Linked DNA regions of Kluyveromyces lactis. The main gene of each other region encodes a partner of the protein of the gene in region 3 in a complex. Links are inferred from orthologs where the notes say so. Each region holds a gene or a part of one and is shown on either strand. Other genes may lie near its edges. The genes, in order: RPC17, RPA49 and RPC10.

Region 1 (2,436 bases), on a different chromosome or scaffold from region 3:
GGTGAAACTACTACATTTGACCGTGGTGCTTTCCATTCGGTGGACGATCCTCAAGGTTCTTACCACAATTATACCATTGATTGGACTAAGGATGAAATCAATATCTATGTCGACAGTGCACTGGTAAGGACTATCACCAGTGACAATGGTCAAGGATACCCAGAGTCTCCAATGCGTATTTTCACAGGTATTTGGGCTGGTGGTGATTCCCAAAACGAGCCCGGAACCATTGAATGGGCAGGTGGTTTGACCGATTATACCAAAGCTCCATTCAGCATGTATTTGAAAGACGTTATCGTTGTTGATTACTCCACTGGTACAGAATACTCATACTCAGGCACCGATGGTACTTGGGAATCTATTGAAGCTAATGATGGTGAGGTGTATGGTAGATATGATCAAGGAGTAGCAGATTTCGATAAGTTAGCTTCTGGTGGAAGCGTATCAGACGACACTTCATCTTCATCCTCCTCATCCTCCACATCTTCATCTTCAACCAAGACAAGTGCATCTCCATCTACATCCAAATCTTCATCCACTTCCTCATCCTCATCTTCATCCTCATCCTCATCCGCATCATCATCATCCTCATCCTTATCCTCATCCTCCCCCACTACGACTTCTAAATCTAGTACCACAATTCCAACTACTTCCACTGAAAGCACCTTGAACACAACTAGTGCTTCATCTACCAGTGCTTCATCATCCAGTATTACTGCATTGAACACAACATCTTCCTCCACTTCCCTATCATCTTCTTCAACTCAGTTGAATACAACTGAATCTCTAATAACTTCCACGGAAGAACTTGTGACCACAGGTTTCTCATCTTTGGTCACTACCACCGCTGCTGACGAAGAGATCACATCGTATGCCACTGGCGAGACAAGCTCATCAGCTGCTTTAACATCCACACAGTCAGAAAACGCTGCTGCTTTCAATTTACCGCAATTGCTTGCTATCATTCCAGCACTTCTACTTCTCTAATAAATAGTCATTTTGTAATATAAACTAACCTCGTTGAATTTTAATAGGTGCATCTTAATCGCTATGGTACCAGCATCAGCCATGCAACTGGTATGCACAAAGCAGGATACGTATACCCTGAGCACTTGTTTCGTTCATCTAAATCATGATACACGGGATTATTTTTCACCGCTTCGAATATATTGAAAGCCATGCAAAGAGAAGAGATGAGCTGAGTTGAGATCAAAGAGTAGCAAGTAATAAAGACTGTATCGGCCTATACTGAATTATCCAAGTAAAAAGCTTCTCATATAACAAAATTCCAAGAAAATGCGCGTGCTTGAGGAAAAAAACGCTTTTATGAGCGACTACGAAACTTTGCAGTTCCTCATATCATTACAGAATCAACACCGATGGACCTCTGGATCAAAATCAGACAGGAAACACAACAAACCATACTACCATCCAGAACTGCAAACGATAACCAGAGACACGGTAAGGTACATAACACAGCGTTCCACTACAGCAGAAGACCCAGAAGAACCAGAAACGTCGGACAAGACCGTACCCAATAACGCCAACAAATCCACACTGCTGAACCTAACTACAGACCAATTCTCAACACTAATGCAAGAATTAAATGCTTTCCCACTATACAAAGCAGAAAAACTACAAATAGTGAACCAATTACCAACAAACTTGGTCCATTTGTATAGCATAGTCGAAGAGTGCGAATCAAGACTTGACGAAGGTCAGGTGACCTCGCTTCTCGAATGCATCTCCCGCACGTGCCTCTAATTATTATACACCATAATACAATATCTATAATGTTTAAATGCTTGGAGAAAAAAATCACATATAACAGACCGAAATACAATGAGAAAAAAGATCAGGAACATGAGTTTCAATGTTTCCAAGTGACAGTATAAGGGAAAAAAGGGATACCCTAGAATAAAGTAGTTATCAGGGCTTCTGAGTGGGTTAGACTTGCATCAGGACCTTTGAAATAGCTGATACTGATAACGATGGTAAAATTTGGTGAACATTTGAAGCGATCTTTGATTCGTGAGTACAGTTATTACTATATCAGTTACAATGACTTGAAGACGGAGTTACAGGAATCCTTGGAAGCTAACAACGGAAAATGGAACGAGGATTTGGAGACTCAGTTTTTGGAGTCCTTGGAAATTGAATTGGATAAAGTGTACACTTTTTGCAAAGTGAAGCATAACGAGGTAGTGCGTCGTATCAAGCAAGCCCAGGAACAAGTTTCTGTCGCTGTGCGTTCTTTGGATACAAATGTTCCGGTTACAGATTTGGATTTCCAAATCTTAGAAGAAGAATTGTCTGATATCATTGCTGATGTGCATGATTTGGCCAAGTTTGCCAGGTTAAACTACACCGGTTTGCAAAAAATTATTAAGAAGCATGATAAGAATACCAATTTCATCTTGAAACCTATTTTCCAAG
Region 2 (3,175 bases), on a different chromosome or scaffold from region 3:
AAAAGACATATCCGCCGCTAGCAATAGTATATGGTGATAGGGTTCCGACGGTCAGAGGTGCCAAGGTTAAAAATCGGGAGGAGATAAAGAAAGGACTGTATCAAGACTTTTATTACGGACCTGGTGACGGTGTTGTACATCACAAGTGGTTACTTCCAGAAAAATGCGGCTTTCCTATTGTAGCAAAGATAGCTAGCGAAATGCCACATGTAAGCCTCATGACAGACTTTGAAGCTATCTCTAAAGCCTTCATTTCCATATTGGACGCTGAGCAAACAAATACGGAGAAAGAACCGTAAAAATCTAGATACATTCAGTATGCTTTTTGACGTGGCTCTTAGTATGCATAAGTAAAGAAACATACCTGTAAATAGTGTGAATTTTTCATGACACAATAGATACAATATAAGGAAGTTCTTCAGGTTTTAATTGTGAAAACATAATTGATATGTCACATCACTCTTCCATAACGTCAAATAAGACTTTCAACCATAGTGAACAAGCCGAACATTGCACCAATACGAAATATCCACCTCCCTCATAATCTATCGCATGTTCTTCCAAAGCATCTTCGGTTAATTGGAACCCATCAGTTATTTGACACCTGGGACAATTCATCGAAAAAGATTGTTCATCTCCGCTGTAATCGAACAGATCTAGAGAGAAAAGATCTAGACCATCACCTGCATTGTGAAAGCCAAGTTTCTTGAACGATTCAGCAAGTTCCTCATCATATTTTTTCCTCAAATCCTGATCAATGAGGGTCTGGTAAGCTTCCTGGATATCAGTAACAGAATGACTAGATGTATTGTTTCCGTTGGAATTATAATTCAATCCAGATTTATCAGGATGTGTTTCCAGTAACATGGCCCTATAAGCTCTTTTAATTTCGATATTACTGGCATCGCTTTCAATGCCCAAAATTTCATAGAAGGATCGTTGCATTATGATAACTGGATGTTCTGCTACAGAACCACTCAACTTGGTATAAGTGCTGACATAGCTTTTTGTTGATGTCTGTCAACATTTCAATGAAATATCAAAAGCTAACCTCATCGCCTCTAACAGAGCATTGAACGAAATACAACACAGAAATCTATGAAAAAGCAGGTTTAACATGCAGCAGAAAAAGTAAGGCGTCCTGACTAAGCTTGGTGTAACGAGGTACTATAAAAGGCATTTATTAATCTGGCAAACGGTCGAAGTTTCGTCTTTCCAACTCAATAATCCAATGGTTCGGTCACATGACTCTTGTTTCTTTTTCCTTGATCGAAAAATTTTTGGATATGCGATGAGATGAGATGTAAAGCATCGATCACAAACTATATTGGGAAATTAGTACATCATTGAAAGGTATCCCAAGGTCCGAAATAAGCTGACTGTGTAGTAACTAAGAGTGTGGAGATGGGTTCCAAACGTGCATTCACTGAGGTTGGTGTTTCAGCTTATCATGATGAACCATCTGTTGCTGTAAGTAGCTTCTTTAAGGGCTTCCAGGCACCAAAAGATACCACCTTCGAGCTATATAAGAACAAGAAGAACAGCGACAAATACGTGTTACATGGTGAAAACGATAGACTAGAATATGAAGGTCAGACTGACGATGATTTTGTTAATTCTTCTCAGTATGTTGTTGGTGTTTATGATGCCGCCACGAAGTCTGTAGAATTGTACAAGGCACCACTGGTATCCAGCAAGGTTCTTTCCAAATCTAGAAAGAACCTAATGGGACCTGACATTAAACAGGCTAACGTCCGTGCTGCATTGATGAGAAACGCTTTAGGTGAGGCGTTCGGTACTAAGAAGGCAAAGAAGGCCATTGCTGATATGGAAAGAAACCGTATTGATTCAGACAAATTGGTTGATTCTGCGATAGATATTGTAGACACAGTGAAGACTGCTTCGAAAGAACTGCCTTCAAAGGAAGAACTGCAAGAAACTGTATCTTCTGATAGACCAACTCCGTTGGCTGATTTAGACGCAACAGATGTGGAACAAATTTATCCTTTATACAACATAATACCCAAAAAGGAATGGTCATTTATTCGCGTTGGCAGTATCATGAAAGAGCAAGACCCAGAAAAGAGGCTAGAATATTTCCCATACACTAAATTTCAATATGTGGCTAACAAGTTGCCAACTCTAACACAAGCAGCACAAATGCAAAAATTGCAATTACTATATTATTTATCACTTTTGGCTGGGGTGTACGATAACAGAAGAGTTAACAACAAGACAAAATTATTGGAAAGAATAAACAACCCTCCAGATGCCCTATTAAATGGCATTTTGGAAAGGTTTACCATCTCTAGACCTGGTCAATTTGGTAGATCAAAAGATAAGTCATTCTTTATCGATCCACAGAGGGAGGACAAATTGCTATGTTATATTTTGGTAATTATTATGCATTTGGATAACTTCATTGTTGAAGTCCCACCTTTAGCTCAACAACTAAACTTAAAGCCTTCCAAGCTTGTCAGTCTCTTCAAAATCTTAGGTGCTACCGTTAAGGGTGCTACTGTAGCTCAAGCTGAAGCCTTTGGCATTCCAAAGTCTTCTGCCTCAACGTATAAAATAGCAACTTTGAAGGTACCATTCAAGCTACCAGAAATGATTAGAAGAGGTAAAGGGCCAAGAAGGTAGCTTATCCCTATGATTTAAGTAGAACATGCGTTTGTATAATACTTTTTTGCAATTGATCTACACTTCTTCAGAAATCTATTTTACTATATAAAGAAAAAGAATTATTCATCTCGTATTATCAACCTTCATCTTATAATGATCAACTAAAAGAATACAGAAAGTGATGGTATAATCGAGAAATTAGAACTTAAACATCATATATAGAACCTGTGGATATGCAAGATGTTGGGATAGGTGTCGATCTGGGATCTACCGAGTTTAGAATAGGTATTTTTGATTATTATACTGATAGCCTAGTCAAGGAAACGAAAGAAAAAGTCCCTTATTTTAGGCATGGAAATGGGATCATTACCCAATGTACCTCTGATATTTTAACTGCTGTAGAAAAAGCATTCAATACTTTATATATCCAGGAGTACAACATTTGTTCATTGGGTGTAGGAGCAACTTGTTCGATGGTGGTTGGGAAACAGAAAGATGAGAACTTAATTCCCTTCAATTTGATTCATGACAAGAACGGTAGATATCACGA
Region 3 (2,039 bases):
AACAGGATGTTTCTTCTGACGATCAAGATGAGGATTACTTAGAGTTGCAGAAGCTAACGGCGAACCAGGTTGATCAATTTGTGCAGAATGCTATTAAAAGCGATGGGGAGGACGAGGTACCGGAAACACTAAGTAGTGGCAGAGAGACGGCACTACAAGCGGAAGAGCGAGAAGACATAAAAGAGGAGAAACCAGGTACTCAATTAGAGGCAGCAGTAGTGGCAGAAGTGGTGGCAGAAGTACAAACTGAACCAACTGCTGAGAAAGCTATTCCCGCTGTTTCCGTAACCTCTGTTCCAGCGAAGAGAATACCTTCTGAGAAGATCGAAGTCTCCACCAGCACAGAAGAGGATGAAGCAGCAGCAGCAGCTACGATTGTACCTAACACTGATAAATCAAGTACATACCCTGCTCCTGCAGCAATCGGCCATACTCAGAACGGAACCGTCCCTCGTGCACCAAACACTGACTCAAGCAACATACCTACTTCACCACGTATACTCACGCCGAAGAGCAACCCGTTCCGCGTAGTACATGTTGGTAGCCAACCAAGCTCCCGTAACGCATCGAGAAACAGCTCTAGGGTCTCAAGCACTTCCTCAGATATTTCAGACATAAACTTTGAACAATTACAGCAAAATTACAACTCACTCTCGGTCAAATGTACCAAACTACAAAAAGAAATCGATTACCTCCACAAATTTAAAAACGAAAGTACCTTAACGCTCGAAGACAGACGCAAACTGATCACTGCCATCGAAAAATTGCAAGAATACCTCGACAAGAAAAACAAACAACGTTACGATACAGGTGTAATATTATCCCGTCAAATAAGGAAAAACGTAGATATGGGGGCCAATGGCCAATTTTGGGTAGGAAGGTCGTAACCTGGAAATCTCGTACTACATACATACATACGTTCATTCGTGTCTATATAAATGTGTGTGTATTTCTATGCATCCTTTAAGTATTACCCTACCGTGTATTTCCAAAAGAAATTCTTCTGACCTTAGTAAGAAATTTGAATTGACAAGCTCATCATAGGAATCAGAAGCTTTGACTGAAACATACTGTCTCGGATACGAGAGTTATCCTCCGATAGTCGAGTCAGTGAGTGCGTTTGTGGCCCCAATAGTTTAAGAGTAAGTGTCAAGATGTCCCGTGAAGGTTTCCAAATCCCAACGAATTTAGATGCTGCTGCTGCTGGTGCAGCTCAGAGCAGAACTGCCACTTTGAAATACATCTGCGCAGAGTGTTCAAGCAGACTTTCGCTTTCCAGAACTGATCCCGTCCGTTGCAAGAATTGCGGTCACCGTATCCTACTCAAGGCCAGAACCAAGAGAATGGTCCAGTTCGAAGCCAGGTAAACCTGTTCCCATTCCATCACATAAACTATATGCATATAAACTATATATGTATTACAGCATCTTTCCTGTATGTACATTAATAAACGTTGACATTTAAACGTTTCTCAATTGAAACACGACTACATGGGCATCGCTAGTCGACAGACGGATGTCCGAAGTCAGCTGGGGTTATACCGGCTAATCACACTGCGCAAAATTCCTTTTTCTTTATGTGATGGAAAATCTCTGAGAAAACTTTATGATTTTGGGCAGCTTCACCATCTAATTTTAAAATCAAAGAATAACGTCACCGTTAGATTTGCATATATCCACTTCCAAACTGAAAAGACGAAGTTTGACGGACGTTTTGTGGACCATTTGAGCTAAGGCTTGATAGGCAACTGTTTGGTGTGATTAGTGAAGAGAGAGTGGGTGCTTTGAACGGTGCCAATATCTGCTTTTGCGTGTATTATCTTGTTTGTTGATTTTGGTGTTTAATTGAACGTTTCTCTCCTCAAACACAACAAAGGATCAGTGCTTTTTTTTGATAGAATTGAAGTCTTTTGCGAGGTCAAAAAGCTGTATCTTAGGTTCTTTGTATACCCCAGTTACATCTTTCTGTTTCTCTCTAGTGGTTGCCTGTGATTTTTTAGATCGATAGGGTTGTGTCCGAAATATCTTTCGTGATGAATA

What was found.
Region 1: RPC10 (region 3) and RPC17 share a complex: the UniProt entries of both Saccharomyces cerevisiae proteins name them as parts of the RNA polymerase III (Pol III) complex. The link is inferred for Kluyveromyces lactis from reciprocal best matches to the Saccharomyces cerevisiae genes RPC10 and RPC17.
Region 2: RPC10 (region 3) and RPA49 share a complex: the UniProt entries of both Saccharomyces cerevisiae proteins name them as parts of the RNA polymerase I (Pol I) complex. The link is inferred for Kluyveromyces lactis from reciprocal best matches to the Saccharomyces cerevisiae genes RPC10 and RPA49.

Annotation. Positions count from the first base shown.
Region 1 is NC_006042.1:2,114,081-2,116,516, reverse strand, and holds RPC17 (DNA-directed RNA polymerase III subunit RPC17), read left to right. Parts: upstream 1-1,296; coding exon 1,297-1,764; downstream 1,765-2,436. Other genes in the region: CRH1 (transglycosylase), read left to right, coding at 1-987; VTC4 (Vtc4p), read left to right, coding at 1,992-2,436. UniProt on the Saccharomyces cerevisiae protein: DNA-dependent RNA polymerase catalyzes the transcription of DNA into RNA using the four ribonucleoside triphosphates as substrates. Specific peripheric component of RNA polymerase III which synthesizes small RNAs, such as 5S rRNA and tRNAs.
Region 2 is NC_006039.1:266,439-269,613, reverse strand, and holds RPA49 (DNA-directed RNA polymerase I subunit RPA49), read left to right. Parts: upstream 1-1,404; coding exon 1,405-2,643; downstream 2,644-3,175. Other genes in the region: KLLA0_C03003g (uncharacterized protein), read left to right, coding at 1-299; JJJ3 (Jjj3p), read right to left, coding at 457-945; MPA43 (Mpa43p), read left to right, coding at 2,859-3,175. UniProt on the Saccharomyces cerevisiae protein: DNA-dependent RNA polymerases catalyze the transcription of DNA into RNA using the four ribonucleoside triphosphates as substrates. Component of RNA polymerase I (Pol I) which synthesizes ribosomal RNA precursors.
Region 3 is NC_006040.1:683,844-685,882, forward strand, and holds RPC10 (DNA-directed RNA polymerase core subunit RPC10), read left to right. Parts: upstream 1-1,154; coding exon 1,155-1,367; downstream 1,368-2,039. Other genes in the region: BNI5 (Bni5p), read left to right, coding at 1-887; SKO1 (Sko1p), read left to right, coding at 2,033-2,039. UniProt on the Saccharomyces cerevisiae protein: DNA-dependent RNA polymerases catalyze the transcription of DNA into RNA using the four ribonucleoside triphosphates as substrates.